Anolis sagrei: one gene and its partner. The protein of the gene in region 1 purifies or fractionates together with the protein of each later gene. This does not show direct contact. Links are inferred from orthologs where the notes say so. Each region holds a gene or a part of one and is shown on either strand. Other genes may lie near its edges. The genes, in order: MTMR2 and MTMR12.

Evidence for each region.
Region 2: the proteins of MTMR2 (region 1) and MTMR12 purify together in Homo sapiens (affinity purification with mass spectrometry; 5 studies listed by BioGRID and IntAct, with this or other methods). This does not show direct contact. The link is inferred for Anolis sagrei from reciprocal best matches to the Homo sapiens genes MTMR2 and MTMR12.

The regions. Positions count from the first base shown.
Region 1 is NC_090023.1:20,352,434-20,362,330, forward strand, and holds the start of MTMR2 (myotubularin-related protein 2), read right to left. Parts: upstream 3,772-9,897; 5' UTR 3,493-3,771; coding exon 3,404-3,492; intron 1-3,403. UniProt on the Homo sapiens protein: Lipid phosphatase that specifically dephosphorylates the D-3 position of phosphatidylinositol 3-phosphate and phosphatidylinositol 3,5-bisphosphate, generating phosphatidylinositol and phosphatidylinositol 5-phosphate.
Region 2 is NC_090022.1:281,060,125-281,069,908, forward strand, and holds the start of MTMR12 (myotubularin-related protein 12), read left to right. Parts: upstream 1-5,361; 5' UTR 5,362-5,456; coding exon 5,457-5,720; intron 5,721-9,784. UniProt on the Homo sapiens protein: Acts as an adapter for the myotubularin-related phosphatases. Regulates phosphatase MTM1 protein stability and possibly its intracellular location. By stabilizing MTM1 protein levels, required for skeletal muscle maintenance but not for myogenesis.

The DNA of each region.
Region 1 (9,897 bases):
AACTCTTGGAAGAAAATAGACATTGACATATGCGAGTTGTAGTTACTGGGAGGTATAGTTCACCTACAATCAAAGAGCATTCTGAACTCCACCAATGATGGAATTGAACCAAATATGGCACACAGAACTCCCACGACGAACAGAAAATATATATCAATGATTGGTTGGGCGGGGGGGGGGGGGGCAAAATACTGTTTGCTTACCGTTGAAAATACTGTTTGCTTACTGGCCTCTGGCTGGCCATGTAGATAGTGTGCCAAGTTTGGCACAGATCCATTGAGGGCTGGGTTCAGAGTGCTCTTTGATTGCAGGTGAACTATAAATCCCAGCAATTACAACTCCCAAATGACAAGGTCTATTTTCCCCAAACTCCACCAGTGTTCACGTTTGGGCATGTTGAGTATTAATGCCTAGTTTGGTCCAGATCCATTATTGTTTGAGTCCATAGTGCTCTCTGGAGGTAGGTGAACTACAACTCCAAAATTCAAGGTCAATGCCCACCAAACCCTTCCAGTATTTTCTCTTGGTCGTGGGAGTTCTGTGTGCCAATTCTGGTTCAATTCCATCGCTGGTGGAGATCAGAATGCTCTTTGATTGTACATGAGCAACTACATGTAGCAACTACAACTCCTAGCAACTACAACTCCCAAATGACCAAATCAATTCCCCCTTCCAACCCCACCAATATTCAGATTTTGGCATATCGGGCATTTGTGCCAAATTTGGTCCAGTGAATGAAAATACATCCTGCATATCAGATATTTACATTACGATTCATAACAGTACCAAAATTACAGTTGGGAAGAAGCAATGAAAATAATGTTATGGTTGGGGGTCACCACAACATGAGGAACTGTATTAAGGGGTCGTGGCATTCGGAAATTTAAGAACCACAGCTCTAGATGGAGGGAAGTCACAGTCCCACTCTATTCTGCTTTGGTCAGACCTCACCTAGAATAACCCTGTGTCCGGTTCAGGACAACACAATCAAAGAAGGATATGGACAACATAGAATGTGTCCAGAGAAGGGCAACCAAAACAGCCAAAGGTCTGGAAGCCAATCCCTATGAGGAATGGCTTATTTCGGGAGCTGAGCATGAGTCGCTTGGAGAAAAGAAGGTTAAGACATAATAGCCATGTTTAAGGATCTGAAAGGATGTCAGATCAAGGAAGGGAACACTTGTTTTCTGCTGCTCTGAAGTCTAGGACATGGAGCAATGGATTCAAATTACAGGAAAAGAGATTCCATGTAAACATTAGGAAGCACTTCCTGGTGATAAGAGCTCTTCCGCAAGTGGAGTTTGCTGCCTGGGACTGTAGCGGAGCTCCTGCTGTGGAAGTTCTTAAGCAGAGGCTGGACTTCCATCTGTTGAGAGTACTTTGATTGTGTTCTACTGCATGGCAGAATGGGATTGTCTCTTGTAATCTTTTCCAACTCTATGATTCTAAGCAACACCCACTGAAATCCCCTTTTCTATAAACCAACAAAGGTATAGGAGCCACTTCTTGCTTTCAGTCTAAATTATATAGTTCTGAGCTGAGGGGAATCGAGATGAAATGAGAGATTGATTACTGTTCATAAACAACTAGATTTCACAGGCACTCTCTGGGGATTATGGGAACTGTAGTTCATCACATAGAGAAGCACCAGATGGGGGAAGGACGACATAATTATCTATGTGCCGCCGGACTAGATGTCATGGTCATGGAGTGCATCTACTTGGTAGAATCAATGCACCTTGACACCACTATGTATGGTTCAATGCGATGGAATCTAATGAGTTGTATTTTGGGGAGGCACAAGCCCTCTTTGGCAGAGAAGGCTACAAAATCTGGTCAAGTTATGCCTCCAAAATCCCATAGCATTGCCTAGGGGATGCCCGGATGTTTTGATGTTTTACCATCCTTGTGGCAGGATTCTCTCATGTCCCTGCATAGGGAGCTGGAGCTGACAGAGGGAGCTCATCTGTGCTTTCCCCGGATTTGAACCTCCAACCTGTCGGTCTTCAGTCCTGCTGGCACAAGGATTTACCCATTGCACTACCAGGAGCTTCTTATTCATGAGTCACAATAAGTCAAAGGTCAAGTAGACAAACTTTTTTAATGTCAGAAACGACTTGAGAAACTGCACGTCGCTTCTGGTATGAGAGAATTGGCCATTTGCAAGGACATTGCCCAGGGAACGCCTGGATGTTTTGATGTTTTACCATCCTTGTGGCAAGCTTCTCTCATGTCCCTGCATAGGGAGCTCATCCGTGCTCTCCCCAGATTCCAACCTCTGACTTGTCAGTCTTCAGTCCTGCTGGCATAAATGTTTAATCCATTGCACCACTGGGTGCTCCTTATTCATAAGTCACCATAAAGTCAAAGGTGAAATAGACTTTTTTTTTTCATGTCAGGAGCGACTTGAGAAACTGCAAGTTGTTTCTGGTGTGAGAGAACTGGCCGTCTGCAAGGATGTTGCCTAGGGGACACCTGGGTGTTTGATGTTTTACCATCCTTTTGGTAGGCTTTTTTCATGAAACTGGAGCTGACAGAGGGAGCTCATCTGCACTCTTCCCGGATTAGAATCCCCGACTTGTCAGTCGTCAGTCCTGCTGGCACACCGGGGACTCTGCTATGGTAGTTAAATTGATAGAATCATAGAATCAAAGAGTTGGAAGAGACCTCATGGGCCATCCAGTCCAACCCCCTGCCAAGAAGCAGGAATATTGCATTCATAGAGTTGGAAGAGACCTCGTGAACCATCCAGTCCAAACCCCCTGCCAAGAAGCAGGAAAATTGCATTCAAAGCACTCCTGACAGATGGCCATCCAGCCTCTGTTTAAAAGCTTCCAAAGAAGGAGCCTCCACCACACACTGGGGCAGAGAGTTCCACTGCTGAACGGCTCTCACAGTCAGGAAGTTCTTCCTCATGTTCAGATGGAATCTCCTCTCTTGTAGTTTGATGCCAGACTGCATTAATTCTTCAGTGTAGATCAGGCATGGGCTAACTTCGGCCTTCCTAGGAAATGTTAGGAATTGTGGGAGTCGAAATCCACAACATTTGGAGGGCTGAAGTTTGCCCATTCCTGGAGTAGATGCACCTCTGTTTGCAGAAGCTTTACCACCAGCTGAGAGAGTGTGACTCACCCCAAGGCCACTCAGTGAGGATACAAAAGCCCTGCCCTCAAATCCCCCCCAGGCCTTGAGCATCTTATTGCACATCCTTTGGAAACCAAATCCTCTTTTCTGATAGGGAGGTGAGTTGGTTAGAAGCACACATTTCCCTGCAATCTGGAGATGGGTGGAAGGATCAGAGCTGAAAAGTCACGACATTCCCCCTCTTCCCTCCCTCCCTCTTTCCTTCCCCCTTGGGCGGCGCTGCGGGGGAGTAACGAGTAACGAGAAGTAACGCCGTTACCTGGAGAGAGAGTCGATGCTGGGCTGGCGGGTGGTAGAAGGAGGCGCCGGCTTGGAGGCCAGGCTCTCGCAGCTGGAACTCTTCTCCATGGCTGGAGGAAGGAGAGACAGAGAGAGAATGGGAGGGAAGAGATAGAAAGATAAAGGGAGAGAAAGAAAGAGAGGAGCGGAGGGGAGGAGGAGAAATAGGTAGGTAGATAGAGAGATGAATGGGGGAAAGATAGATAGATCAGGCTGTTGCTGCTGCTGCTGCTGTCAAGGGAGTGGAGAGGGCGCGGGCGCTGCCATGTTGAGCCCACAGTGCAGTGCGCATTGCTAGGCGGGGATGTGATGCTCGATGCTCAGCCTCCCTCCTCCGCTTCGGGAGGAGCCGCTTCGCGGGAGGCAGGAGACAGAAGCACAAGCGGCCAACGCCGGCTCCTTCCCTCCCTCCCCTTTCCAAGCTTTGGGGCACATTCAGCCCTCGCTATCCGCTGGGCTTGGCTCCCAAGACCCCCTTCCCTGGGACGCCCACATCCCTGGATGCTCAAGTCCATGGAGATCCTGTTAAACATGTAAACATGGCTAGCCTATCACCTTTCCGCCTCCAAGTCATAGAATCATAGAATCAAAGAGTTGGAAGAGACCTCATGGGCCATCCAGTCCAACCCCCTGCCAAGAAGCAGGAATATTGCATTCAAGTCACCCCTGACAAATGGCCATCCAGCCTCTGTTTAAAAGCTTCCAAAGAAGGAGCCTCCACCACACTCCCTCCAGGGCAGAGAGTTCCACTGCTGAACGGCTCTTACAGTCAGGAAGTTCTTCCTCATGTTCAGATGGAATCTCCTCTCTTGTAGTTTGAAGCCATTGTTCCGCGTCCTAGTCTCCAAGGAAGCAGAGAACAAGCTTGCTCCCTCCTCCCTGTGGCTTCCTCTCACATATTTATACATGGCTTTCATCTCTCCTCTCAGCCTTCTCTTCTTCAGGCTAAACATGCCCGGCTCCTTAAGCCGCTCCTCATAGGGCTTGTTCTCCAGACCCTTGATCGTTTTAGTCACCCTCCTCTGGACACATTCCAGCTTGTCAATATCTCTCTTCAATTGTGGTGCCCAGAATTGGACACAATATTCCAGGTGTGGTCTAACCAAAGCAGAATAGAGGGGTAGCATTACTTCCCTGGATCTAGACACTATCCTCCTATTCAGGCATGTAGCCAGGGGGGGGGGCTCGGGGGGCTTCAGCCCCCCCCCGAAATTCTCATGGTGGTTCGCGAAAAGGCCTTACTGGTGCATTATTTAAACAGTTATGTTTATTAATATCATGATTTGATCACCATTCTCAATATATCCCATATGTATGGGGGTATTGGGGTAATGATACAAAAGGTTTGCTAGGCTAGACCCTCTTTCACTCAGACTCAGCCCCCCCCCCGAAACTCAGCCCCCCCCCGAAACCCCCCCTGAAATTTTTTTAGCCCCCCCCGAAACGAAATCCTGGCTACGGGCCTGCTCCTATTGATGCAGGCCAAAATCGCATTGGCTTTTTTGCCGCCACATGACATTGTTGGCTCATGTTTAACTTGTCCACAAGGACCCCAAAATCTTTTTCACACGTACTGCTCTCGAGCCAGGCATTGTCCCCCATTTTGTATCTTTGCATTTCATTTTTCCTGCCAAAGTGGAGTATCTCGCATTTTTCACTGTTGAACTTCATTTTGTTAATTTTGGCCCATCTCTCTAAACTGTCAAGGTCGTTTTGAATCCTGCTCCTGTCCTGTGGAATATTGGCTATCCCTCTCAATTTGGTGTCGTCTGCAAACTTGATGAGCCTGCCTTCTAGCCCTTCATCTAAGTCATTAATAAAGATGTTGAACAGGACCGGGCCCAGGACGGAACCCTGTGGCACTCCGCTCGTCACTTCTTTCCAGGATGAAGAGGAAGCATTGGTGAGAATCACCCTCTGGGTTCGTCCATTTAACCAATTACAGATCCACCTCAGTGTAGTTTTGCCTAGCCCACATTGGACTAGTTGGTTTGCCAGAAGGTCATGGGGTACCTTGTCGAAGGCCTTATCGAAATCCAGGTACGCTACATGCCTTATTGAAATCCAGGTATGCTCAAGTCCTTGGAAATACTGTTAAACATGTAAACATGACTAGCCTATCACCTTCCAGCCTCCAAGTCATAGAATCCTAGAGTTGGAAGAGAACTCGTGGGCCATCCAGTCCAACCCCCTGCCGAGAAGCAGGAAAATTGCATTGAGCCAACAATGTGATGCTGCGGCAAACGGGATTTTGGCCTGCATCAATAGGAGTCTAGTCTAACTGGAGCGACTTACAGGGAGCAGTCAACCCCCCTGTTTAAGGAACTCCATTGGCTGCCATTCATTTTCTGGTCCCAATTCAAGGTGCAATTTCTTACCTACAAAGCCCTGAACGGTTTGGGACCCACCTACCTGCATGGCTGCATTTCTGTGTACGAACCCACGGAATCTGTTCGATCATCTGGAGAGGCCCTGCTCTCGCTCCCTCCCCCTTTGCAGGCACAATTGGTGGGGACGAAGGAGAGGGCCTTCTCTGTGGTGGCCCCCGACTCTGGAACTTACTCTCCAAGGATATCAGACAAGCCCCTACTGCAACGCTCTCTACGTGGGGTTGCCTTTGAAGACTGTCTGGAAGCTTCAAATGGTCCAACGGTCAGCAGCCAGGCTACTAACGGGAGCGGCGATCAGGGAGCACACAACTCCTCTGTTGCGTCAGCTCCACTGGCTGCCGGTTTGCTACCAGGCACAATTCAAAGTGCTGGTTTTACCCTATAAAGCCCTAAGTGGTTCTAGCCCAACTTACCTGTCCAAACGCATCTCCTCCTATGAACCAGCTAGGGTGTTAAGATTGTCTGAGGAGGCCCTGTTCTCAGTCCCACCTGTTCTCAGTCCCACCTGTGCCACAAGTACGATTGATGGGGACGAGAGACAAGGCCTTCTCAGTGGTGGCCCCTTGGCTGTGCAACGCCCTTCAGATGGAATCTCCTTTCTTGTAGTTTGAAGCCATTGTTCCGCGTCCTGAAGCAAGAGAAGGCTGAGAAGAGACATGATAGCCATGTATAAATATGTGAGAGGAAGTCACAGGATGGAGGGAGCAAGCTTGTACTCTGCTGCCCTGGAGACTAGGACGCGGAACAATTATTCTATGAATCTATGGTGCTACAGCCTTCCAGGTGAGGTCTGACCAAAGCAGAATAGAGTGGGACTAGCACTTCTCTCACTTAGACACTCTCCTCTTATTGATGCATCCAAGAGCTGTTCCAGCTGCCGCATCACATTGTTGAGTCATGTTCAGCTTGAGACAGTAATTTCAACTAAATGTTAGAAGAGAGTGGGGCTAGTACATCTCTCATCTTGACACTATCCTATTGATGCAGTTGAGGGCCGATCCAGCTGACGCATCACATTGTTGAGTCGTGTTCATCTTGAGACAGTAATTTCAACTAAACATTAGATTGTGGAGTCTCGTTTCCATGGACCTGCTGGAGATGTTCTAGTTACATTTCCTATATTGAACAATAGGTTGGACTCAATGGCCTAAGAAACCTCTTACAACTCCGTGATTCCGTCATTCATGATCTTTCTTTTTTAATGTTTTCACTATTTCTTTCATCTTTTTCTTATGGTGGAACATCTGCGTAAAAGGGAAAGTTAGAAAAGCTTGCACACTACGTTCTAATGAGAAGCATGAAATATCCAATATACATTACAGGAAAATAAATTGTGTTGTTGAAAGCTTTCATGGCCGGAATCACTGGGTTGCTGTGAGGTTTTCTGGCAGTATGGTTACCAGTACAGTGGTCCCTCGCTACTTCACGGTTCGCGTTTCGCAGACTCGCTGTTTTGCGGTTTTTCAATATGGACTTAAGAGTGTTCGTCTGCATAGAGAGGCTGCCTCTGCAGATAAAGCCAAAGCCAAGGATTACGTGAACAACACGTTCAAGGAGGGTTGTGTAGTGAGGAGGGTCTATAAAGACTATAAGTATGTGAGGAGGGTCTATAAAGACTTAAAATAGTGTATAACTACTAAAATTATAGTGTATAACTACTAAAATAATGTATAAATATTAACATTTTTAATTGCAGTGGTGCAGTGGGTTAAACCCTTGTGCCAGCAGGAATGAAGACCGACAGGTCGCAAGTTCAAATCTGAGGAGAGGCGGATGAGCTCCCTCTATCAGCTCCAGCTCCTCATGCAGGGACATAAGGGAAGCCTCCTACAAGGAGGATAAAAACATCAAATCACCTAGGCATCAACCAGGCAACGTCCTTGCAGACAGTCAATTCTCTCACACCAGAAGCGACTTGCAGTCTCTCAAGTTGCTCCTGACACGACAATTTTTTTAAATTAAAATTAATATAGCATCCCTACTTCACAGATTTTCACTTTTCATGGGTGGTCCTGGAACGTAACACCCGTGATAAGTGAGGGAGCACTGTATTAAAATCTGTTTACCAGTATTAAAAAACACCAGAATCAAGACAGTAAATAATGAACACCACTCAGAAACAAGAAAACTCCAGACAGCAAGCAAACAAGTGTCAACTAACACCTCCAAAATAGAGGATGCCTCTAGGCAACAAAGGTCAGGCTACCTCTATGCAGATACCTCACTGATTGACTTGCAGCTTCATGGCTACTCAGTGCTATTCCAGCTTGCTAATTGGAACATTCACACTTGCATCAAACAGACAAGGCTTCTTTCTCCCACCTTGGATATTCCAACTATCTATCTATCTATCTATCTATCTATCTATCTATCTATCTATCTATCTATCTATGGATGGAATATCCAGGGTGGCAGAAAGAACACTTGTTTGTTTGATGCAAGTGTGAATGTTGCAATTAGCAAGCTTCAATAGCTTGAATACACACACACGCACACACACACACTCCACATGCCTCACCTCCAACAGACCTCTGAAGATGCCAGCCACAGATGCAGGCAAAATGTCAGAAGAGAATGCTACTAAAACATGGCCATATAGCCCCAAAAACTCACAGCAATCTAGGAAAAAACATTAAAATCTGTAAAATAGCTTTTAATTTTTGAGGCTTCTCTAACTGTAAACCCTCTCCAGTACTGAAGAGTCATGTTTTCCCCCATCTTTCCTTTTTTAAAAGAATTGGAAGTCAGGAAATCACAGAAAAGTCACCAGGGGAACAATATGGTCTGGACAGTCCTCAAACAATGGCAGATGGACAATGGGTTGTTGTAGGTTTTTTCGGGCTATATGGCCATGTTCTACAGGCATTTAGAACATGGCCATATAGCCTGAAAAAACCTACAACAACCCAGTGATTCTGGCCATGAAAGCCTTCGACAATACGCAGATGGACAATGTTTCCCATAAGTGTGGCAGTGTAGCCATATCATGAAAAGTTTCAGCCCTTTCTGGTCAGGAAGGAGTTTCCAGAAAGTAGCTATGTTATCTCCTACAGGAAAACTAATAAATCATCTTTTAACAAGACTAAAATGAAAATTCCAGGTGACGTGTGTGGAGGTGGATGCAGTAATAAATGCATTGATTTTTACAGTTTTCAACCCACTTTGCAGAAGGACATGAGTGCAATGACACCTTTTATGGTTCTTAGCCAACAACAATGACAGGCGGTCATGTGTTTGGTCAGAAAAACTGGTATTTCCTTGTATTCATCCTCTCTATCAGGAGAACAGGAAAGGGGGAGGAAGGGTGGCCTGGAGTTGATAGGACAAGAGGTTCTAAATGCAAAGAATCAGGCCAAAGCCATAACATGGAATGAATGCAGTGGGATGGGCTGCTTCCTCCTTCACTTGTATTTATCACCATGTTAACCTTACTTTTAATATTTGAAAAATTGTATGCTGCTGCTGGACAGTTGGCCTTGAGAGCTGATGTATCTATCAAACAATATTAGAGCATTGAGAAATGTAGAAAGCTGCCTTATACTGATCTGGGGTGTTTTTACAATGTAGAATTAATGCAGTTTGACACCACTTTAACTGCCATGGCTAAATGTTACAGTTTTTAAAGTTGGCTGCTTTGGGTCTCCTTTGGTAAATAAAAAGTGGGGGTATAAATACACAACAACAACAACAACAACAACAACTCTGGGACAAGCCAATCAAGGTGGTCCCAGTGGTGATCAGCACACTGGGTGCAGTGCCTAAAGACCTTGGCCTGCACTTAAACACAATCGGTGCAGACAAAATTACCATCTATCAGCTGCAAAAAGCCATCATACTTGGATCTGCACACATTATCCGCCGATACATCACATAGTCCCAGTCACTTGGGAAGTGTCTGACATGTGATCCAGTACAACAGCCAGAATAGTGATCTTATTTGCTGTGTACTGTTCTTGTTGTGTTTTAAATAATAATAATAATAATAATAATAATAATAATAACAACAACAACAACAGCAAAAGTCAGCATAGTGATCATGTCTGCTGTGCAGTGTGCAGCGATCTTAATTCTAATAAAGTGCTTC
Region 2 (9,784 bases), on another chromosome or scaffold:
AAAATAGAGACTCGTGGATATCGGAGGCTCCCACCAAGGAAGTCAGGGCACCCACGGAGGTGGGGGTTGGAAAAAGGGTTCAGGGAGACAAAGGGATAGTTAGTGTGGGGGAGAGGAACAGAAAAAAACCCCCAATTCTGAGGGCCATGGGGGGGCTGTGGGGTCATGAGGACCATGTGGCCCGATGGCTACCAAGCTGGCTGTGAGAGGCAAAAATGGAAGAAAGAGACTAAGGGAGACAAAGAGAATACAAAGATGCAGATATAGTGGATAATGCACCAGGGTGCACATTTATTTAGGTTTAGAAACAATATAACTATTAAAAGGAGAAAGACACTTGCAAAAAGTATCCTGGGTGCCAGAGCGTTGATCGTCCATAAAATGGGAGATTTAAACATAAAAGGTTCTAGCTGGCTGCTGCTTGTCCCCACCGCAGTTCCAGCAAGAGAATTAATTATATGTATTGTCAAAGGCTTTTTCCCAACAAGGGATCCCCCAGGCAGCAACCAGCCAGGCACTGAAGCTACAAGACCATTAAATGCTAATCAAGGTAGCCAACAGCAACATTCATACTTGCCTCAAGCAGACAAGATTTCTTTCTCCCACCCTGGACATTATTCCACAGATATATAAACCTCACTTTCCTAGTTTCCAAAAGACCTCACAACCTCTGAGGATGCCTGCCAAAAATGCAGGTGAAACATCAGGAGAGAATGCTTCTAGAACATGGCCATACAGCCTGAAAAAGTCACAGAAACCCAGAATTAAATATAATTTGGTGGAGGAGGAGAGCACACGCTAAGACACTCTAAGTGGCCAGCTTCTGATCAATGGAAATTTAGTCCACGATATGAGAGTGTGGAGGAGAGCAAACCACAGACCACTTAATACAATGCAGTCTGAGCCCTGCCACGTGCACAATGGAGGACCTTCTTACAGTGACACCAGAGCCACTCCAAGTGGCCAGCTTCTGGTCAAAGAGAGGAAGAACTGTTTAACGCTACAGACCATGTAGTCAATGTTGTCCATTTTTGGTCTATAATTATTTAGCTGCTTGTGCTCCCTTTAATTTATCAGTTTGATATTTATTTATGCAATGCTTTTGACAGGAAGTAATAACAGTTTGCCATGGAATTCATCTCACCTTTAAGTGATCAGCAATCAATGTATTGTCAAAGACTTTCATGGAATCACTGGGTTGCTGTAAGTTTTTTGGGCTGTATGGCCATGTTCCAGAAGCATTCTCTCCTGATGTTTCACCTGCATTTATGTCAGGCATCTTAAGAGGTTGTGAGGTCTGTTAGAAACTAGGAAAATTGGGTTTATATATCTCTGAAATGTCCAGGGTGGGAGAAAGAACTCTTGTCTGTTGGAGGTAGGTATGAATGTTTCAATTGGCCATGATACCATGCAGCTGTGGACAACTCTACATAGGGACCACCAAACGCAGCATTGCCCGAACATGAATGGTACTGCAGACTAGCTCAACCACAGAAGTCAGCCATAGCAGAGCACCTGATGAACCATCCTGGTCACAGCATATTATTTGAGAACACATAAATGCTGGACCACTCCAACAACCACCATGTCAGGCTACACAGAGAAGCCACTGAAATCCACAAGCATGTGGACAATTTCAACAGACAGGAGGAAACCATGAAAATGAACAAAATCTTGCTACTACTATTTAAAAAAAAACCTCTAAAATCATAACAGCAAATAAAGAACAACATTCAAAAACAGGGGAACTCCAGACAAGAAACTACCAGGGACAGTTAATCACCTCTCAACAAAGGATTCCCCCAGGCAGTAAGAAGCCAGACCTTGAAAACTGCTCGGCTATTAAATGCTAATCAAGGTGGCCAATTGAAACATTCACACCTACCTCAACAGACAAGAGTTCTTTCTCCCACCCTGGACATGATACCACAGATATGTGGAATTTATGTGAATGTCCTCCAATAGTTGTAGTCTTCTAACCACCAACCCAATACAAAAAAAGGGGAAAAAAGAAAAAAAAGAGGATGCCTGCCATAGATGTAGGCGAAACGTCAAGAGAGAATGCTTCTAGAGGATAATAGTATTAATATTAATAATTAATACTTTATTTATACCCCACCACCAACTCCTCAACGGAGACTCAGGGCGGCTAACATGAGGCCAAGCCCAACAATTACAACAAATCGAAATAAAATACATACAACAAATAATAACCCCAAATGAAATATAAACAAAACAAATTAATACAAAATCAAATAAAGGAAATGAAATAAAATAATAAAAATGTGCACACTGGGCTGGGCCGAGTTAAAGGGGTAGAATTAAAATATACAAACCCTGGGTGAGATGGATGAGTAGGGTAGTGTGCGTGATGGGGGGATTTCAGGTGGGAACAGCAATGGGGAGAATATCATTGAAGGATGAGATAAAGTGCATCAATGGGCATATTGTGCTGAGCTGGTCATGGTACGGGGATTGTATTCATTCCTCAAAGGTACACCAAAACAGCCAGGTTTTTAGGCTCTTCCTGAAGGCTGCCAGGGTGATAGTATGATAGCTGGGTCCAGAAGCTCCAAGTGTTACGGAGATGCCGCAAAGGCGGCTGTGAATAAGGAAAGAGAGGCTGCGGGGGGAGAGCGGGGAGAGAGAAGGAAGGATTAAAAAGAGGGGACGCTTAGGGTAAGGGTTAGGACAAGGTTTAGGGTTTGGGTTATGGTTAGGGTAAGGGTAAGGGTTAGGAGTTACGGTTAGGGTACAGTTTAGGATAAGGGTTAGGGCAAGCTTTAGGGTTTGGGTTAGGGTTAGGGTAAGAGTTAGGGGTTACGGTTAGGGTATAGTTTAAGGTTAGGTTAAGGGCTAGGGCAAGGTTTAGGGTTTGAGTTAGAGTTAGGGTAAGAGTTAGGGGTTACGGTTAGGGTACGGTTTAGGGTTAGGGTAAGGGTTAGGGCAAGGTTTAGGATTTGGGTTAGGGCTACGATTAGGGTACGGTTAAGGGCTAGGGCAAGGTTTAGGGTTTGAGTTAGGGTTATGGTTAGGGGTTACAGTTAGTGTACGGTTTAGGGTTAGGGTAAGGGATAGGGCAAGATTTAGGGTTTGGGTTATGGTTAGGGTAAGGGTTGGGGTTACGGTTAGGGTACAGTTTAGGGTTAGGGTCAGGGTTAGGGCAAGGTTTAGGGTTTGGGTTATGGTTAGGGTAAGGGTTAGGGGTTATGGTTAGGGTACAGTTTAGGGTTAGGGTTAGGACAAGGTTTAGGGTTTGGGTTATGGTTAGGGTAAGGGGTTACGGTTAGGGTACGGTTTAGAGTTAGGTTAAGGGTTAGGGCAAGGTTTAGGGTTTGGGTTATGGTTAGGGTAAGGGTTAGGGGTTACGGTTGGGGTACAGTTTAGGTTTAGGGCAAGGTTTAGGGTTTAGGTTAGAGTAAGGTTAGGGGTTATGGTTAAGGTACAGTTTAGGGTTAGGTTAAGGATTAGGTTAAGGTTTAGGGTTTTGGTTAGGGTTATGGTAAGGGGTTATGGTTAGGGTACAGTTTAGGGTTAGGGTAAAGGTTAGGGCAAGGTTATCATACTATTACCGCTGCCAGGGTGGGCTCTTGGCTAATCTCTCCGGGTACCCAATTCCAAAGCCGAGGGGCCACCATGGAGAAGGATCTCTCCCTTGTCCCCACAAGTCGTGCTTGAGAAGGAGGGGGAAGCGAGAGGAGGGCCTCCCCTGGGGATGGGAAATAATAATAATAACACTTTATTTCTACCCCGCTACCATCTCCCCAAGGGACTTGGTGCGGCTTACATGAGGCCGAGCCCAAACACAACAATACAAGCAATCGCAGCGCCCAAACACGAATCAAGGAACATGTAAGGCACTGCAGACTACTTCAACCAGAGAAGTCAGCCATAGCAGAGCACCTGATGAACCAGCCTGGACACAGCATATTATTTGAGAACACAGAAATGCTGGACCACACCAACAACCACCATGTCAGACTACACAGAGAAGCCATTGAAATCCACAAGCATGTGGACAATTTCAACAGAAAGGAAGAAACCATGAAAATGAACAAAATCTGGCTACCAGTATTAAAAAACTCTAAAATTACAACAGCAAAACAGCAGAGAGGAAACAACCAGGCACATCTTAACACCTCTCAGCAAAAGATTTTCCCAGGCTCAGGCAGGCCTTCAAATGCTAATGAAGGTGGTCAGTTGAAACATTCACACCTAGCTCCAGCAGAGAAGAGCTCCTTGCCCCACCCCAGCCATTCCACAGATATATAAACACTTTTTCCTATTTCCAACAGACCTCACTACCTCTGAGGATGCTTGCCATAGATGCAGGAGAAACGTCAGGAGAAGTGCCTCTAGAACATGGCCATATAGCCCAAAAAAACCTACAAGAACCTAGAAAATATATATCAATAATTGGTTGGGGGAGGAGGGGGCGCCAAAATATTGTTTGCTTACCGTTGAAAATTACCTAGGGCCTCCTCTGCTTGCGAGGGAGGGGGAAGCGAGAGGAGGGCCTCCCCAGAGGATGAAAAAGGTCCTGCATAGCCATAGTAAAGGTAAAGGTTGTCCCCTGACATTAAGTCCAGTCATGTCTGACTCTGGGGTGTGGTGCTCATCTCCATTTCTAGGCCGAAGAGTCAGCGTTGTCCATAGACACGTCCAAGGTCATGTGGCCAAGGTCATGTGGCCGGCATGACTGCATGGAGCGCCGTTACCTTCCCGCCGGAGCGGTACCTATTGATCTACTCACATTTGCATGTTTTCGAACTGCTAGGTTGGCAGAAGCTAGGGCTGACAGCGGAAGCTCACGCCGCTCCCCGGAATCAAACCTGCGACCTTTCGATCAACAAGCTCAGCAGTTCAGTGCTTTAACCCACTGTGCCACTGGGGGCTCCCATACTGGGATATATAGTTCACCTAAAATCAAAGACCATTCTGAACTCCACCAATGATGGAATTGAACCCAATATGGCACACAGAACTCCCACGGGGAACAGAAAATATATATCAATAATTGGTTGGGGGGGGGGGGGGCCGCCAAAATATTGTTTGAAAATTACCTAGGGCCTCCTCTGCTTGCGAGGTAGGTGGAAGCGAGGGGAGGGCCTCCCCAGAGGATGAAAAAGGTCCTGCATAGCCATACAGCCCTAAAAACTTACAGCAACCTGATCAGCAATCAGTTGCTTGTCTTTACAGTCCTTGATTGTCTTGATTGGAGGTTATGGCTGTCAGTCTGGGGAACGACCCCGCCCTCGGCTCCTCCCAGAGCAGCGACAGAAGCGGGGAGAGGCGCTGTGATTGGCTGCCCGCCGGCCCAATGGCGGGGCGGGGCGCGGGAGGCGCGTGAGCAGAAATGGAGCTCCGCGCGCGTGCGTGCCACACCCGAGAGGCGAGGAGAGCCAGAAGTAGCAGCACTAGAAGCACTAGAAGCAGCGGCGTTGGCGTTGCCTGCGATGGGAGGGATTAACTACGTGAGACGGAGCAAGGCGGCGTTAGCGAGAGAGGAGGAGAACCAAGAGGAGGGGGAGGAGGGCGCGGAGTCCTCGTGGGAGGAGCTGCCCACGCCGCCGCCCTCGCCTTCGCCCTCCTCGCCGTGGGGGAAGCCGGCCGGGGCCTGCGCCTGGGGCCCGCAGAGGGGCGCAGAGATGCTCGGCGCAGCCGGCGGCGCGGGGCCCAAGGCAGCCAAGCCCTCCTTCGTCTCCTACATCAGCCCCGAGGTGAGCCAGCGGAGGGGAAGGAAGGAAGGAAGGAAGAAGCCCTTGGCAAGGAAGGAGAGCGGCCGTTGGGAGGCCGAGGGAGGGAGGGAGGGGGGAAGGGGCGCGAGGGCGAGGCGCGCGGAAGGGGGCGTGGCCACAAGGGAAAAAGGGGCGTGGCCCAAAAAAGAGGGCTTGCCTCTGCCTGGCTGAGCCCTTGCTGATTTCTTTATGGCATTTCTGTGCCGCCCTTCTCACCCCGAAGGGGACTCAGAGCAGCTTACAAGATATATCTATATACATACAATATGTTATATTATTAGCCTAGCACAATATCAGTGTTACATATAACTATATTGTAGTAAACCATTATACTGTAATATTATTAGTAATATTACATATCTATATTCTATATTGTTGTTGTTCATTCGTTCAGTCCTCTCCGACTCTTCATGACCTCATGGACCAGCCCACGCCAGAGCTCCCTGTCGGCCGCCACCACCCCCAGCTCCTTCAAGGTCTATATCTTGTTCATTTCTTCAGTCGTCTCCGACTCTTCGTGACCTCATGGACCAGCCCACGCCAGAGCTCCCTGTCGGCCGCCACCACCCCCAGCTCCTTCAAGGTCTATATCTTGTTCATTTCTTCAGTCGTCTCCGACTCTTCGTGACCTCATGGACCAGCCCACGCCAGAGCTCCCTGTCGGCCGCCACCACCCCCAGCTCCTTCAAGGTCTATATCTTGTTCATTTCTTCAGTCGTCTCCGACTCTTCGTGACCTCATGGACCAGCCCACGCCAGAGCTCCCTGTCGGCCGCCACCACCCCCAGCTCCTTCAAGGTCTATATCTTGTTCATTTCTTCAGTCATCTCCGACTCTTCGTGACCTCATGGACCAGCCCACGCCAGAGCTCCCTGTCGGCCGCCACCACCCCCAGCTCCTTCAAGGTCTATATCTTGTTCATTTCTTCAGTCGTCTCCGACTCTTCGTGACCTCATGGACCAGCCCACGCCAGAGCTCCCTGTCGGCCGCCACCACCCCCAGCTCCTTCAAGGTCTATATCTTGTTCATTTCTTCAGTCGTCTCCGACTCTTCGTGACCTCATGGACCAGCCCACGCCAGAGCTCCCTGTCGGCCGTCACCACCCCCAGCTCCTTCAAGGTCAGTCCAGTCACTTCAATGATGCCATCCATCCATCTTGCCCTTGGTCGGACCCTCTTCCTTTTGCCTTCCACCTTCCCCAGCATAATTGCCTTCTCCAGGCTTTGCTGTCTCCTCGTGATGTGGCCAAAGTACTTCGGCTTTGTCTCTAGTATCCTTCCCTCCAATGAGCAGCCGGGCTTTATTTCCTGGAGGATGGACTGGTTGGAGTCCAAGGCACTCTCAGAACTTTCCTCCAGCACCACAGCTCAAAAGCATCAATCTTCCTTCGCTCAGCCTTCCCTAAGGTCCATAGGGAACCTTTCAAAGGCGCTTTGCTACTGCCTTCTTCTTAGAATGAGATTGTGACTTCCTGGTACAGAGGAAGAATTGTTGGAGGCTACAGACAATGCTGTTGCCTGTTTTTGGTCAAAAGATATTTAGCCACTTGAACTCCTATTTTTTATATGAAATAAACTTCCTGATCCCCTGAGTCCTTGACCAATTCTCCGTCTTCTACACCACATTGATATATAGCTACCTATTTTTGTTATATTATTGCTACACCACACTGATATTTAGCTAGCTATTTTCTTTACATAACTGTATGCTGCCTTGAAACAAAATTAGATTAATTGGCAAAAGACACACACATTGGTGCCTGTCTTCAGGAGTTTTGGACTTCAGCTCTCACAATTCCTAAATTTAAGTTGGAATGGGTACATTTTAAGTGCAACTCCAGCCGGATAGATGGATAGTTCTGGATAGTATAGAGAACAGTTAACACCCCTGTAGTTTTTCTTCTGCTGCCTGTGACCCTGTTCAGAGGATTTTACCTCACTTTCTCTCCCTGTGATAATTGGATTTTGAATTGGATTTATTATTATTACCAGTATCCTTTCCTAACACAATTGGAACTCGAAAGCAGGCTTACAACTTGAAAGAGCACCATAATTATGTCATGAAAGGGAACGTTACAATAGAACTAAAGCAACTCAAGTTGAAAGTGTAATTATTCGTAGTAGTTACTATGTTGTTATTAGTTTTACAGTATTTCCTCCCACAGTTATGACTCAGAGCAGGCTCACATGGAAAGGGAACATTGCAATGAAGTTGAACTATTTACTATATTAAAGCAACCTATACCTCAAGTTCAAAGAGTAGTGGCTGTGCCATAGTACTTACTATTGTTATTAGTATTTCTCTTATTATTCCACTTTCCTCCCACACTTGAGGCTCAAAGGAGGCTCATGATTTCAAAGGAGACCACAAATGTATACAGAAAAGAAACATTAGAATATAATTTAACTATTTATTGTATTAAAGTAGCTCATACCTCAAGTCCAAAGCATAGTTATTAATATATGTTATTCCATTATTATTGCCTTGCTGTTATTGGTATTACTTTTATTACTCTTTATTTTATTATTTCACTTCATTCCCACAATAATGTCTCAAAGCAGGCTCAGAACTCCAGAGAACACCACAAATGCATACTGAAAGGGAACATTACGATAGAGTAGAACTATTTACCATATTAAAACCATTCACACCTCAACTTCAAAGAGCAGTTGCTATGCTGTTATTAGTGTTACTACAGTATTCTGCTTTCCTTACTTAGTGGGAACTCCAAGCAGGTTGACAACTTCAAATAATACCACAAATACACCCAGAAAGGGAACTTTACAATGCAATTAAACCAGCTCAAGCTTCAAGTTTAATGAGTAGCTGTTATTAGTAGTTAATATTCTACTATTATTAGTATTGCTACAGTGTTATTCCACTTTCCTCCCACAGTTGGGACTTAAAGCAGGCTTACAACCAAAAAGACCAAATGTCACAGTTGCGAACATGACAAAAAGTTAATTGTAAAACAGAATTAAACTATTCGTTGTAGTGAAACAACTCAAGGCTCAAGTTCAAAGAGTAGTTCAGTTGTTCTCAGCCTTTGGTCCTCCAGGTGCTTTTGACTTTTGCCTCCACAACTCCTAACAGCTGGCAAGCTAGCTGGGATTTCTGAAACTGCAAAACACCTGGAGGACCAAAGGCAGAGAACCACTGGTAGTTATTAGTAGTTACTGTGCTACTATTAGTAGTGTTAATATTACTTTTCTGTTTTCCTCTCACAGTTGGGGATCAAATAAGTTATTAGTATTTTAAATTTTATTATCCTGCATTCTTTCCACAATTGAACTTTATTGCAGACTCACAATTTAAAAGGCCACCACAGTACAAACACACAGAAAGTGACTGTTACAATATAATTAAACTGTATTAAAACAGCTCACACAACAGTTGTTGCTGTGCCATTATTAGTTGCTATGCCATTGTTAGTTGTTACTATGTTGTTTTTGTTATTAGGCTTTATTAGTATTACTATAGTATTATTCCATTTTCCTCACACAATTGGGATCCAAAACAGGCTTCTAAGTTTAAAAACCAACAGTGCAACTGCTAACACAACAGAAAGCAAACATTAAAATAGAATTAACCTATGTACTATATTAAAACAACTTACACTTCAAGTTGAAATAATAAAATACTATTTAAAAATATTTTTTAAAGCCCTCAGAAACAGTTTAGTTAAAGAAATACAAAATCCTGTAACCATTTAAAATTATTATTAATATTATGGCTACTTTTATTATATCTCACCTTTCCCCCCTCAGGATTGATCCCACCTTTTAACAAGGTCTTAGCTTTTAAAATGTGTTAAATGTTTTATCCTGTTAATTTATACTATATGATTATGTTACTTATGGTTTATTTAAGTTGTTTTTTGGTTAATTTTTTTTGTATTAAGTTTGCAGTTAGGTTGTTTGTATTTTGTTAGATGTATTATGTTTTGGTCTAGTTTGTTTATATGTTCTTTGTAGGAATTGAATGTTTGGAAACCACCCTGAGTCCCTTTGGGGAGATAGGGCAGTCTGCAAATAAAGTTTATTATTA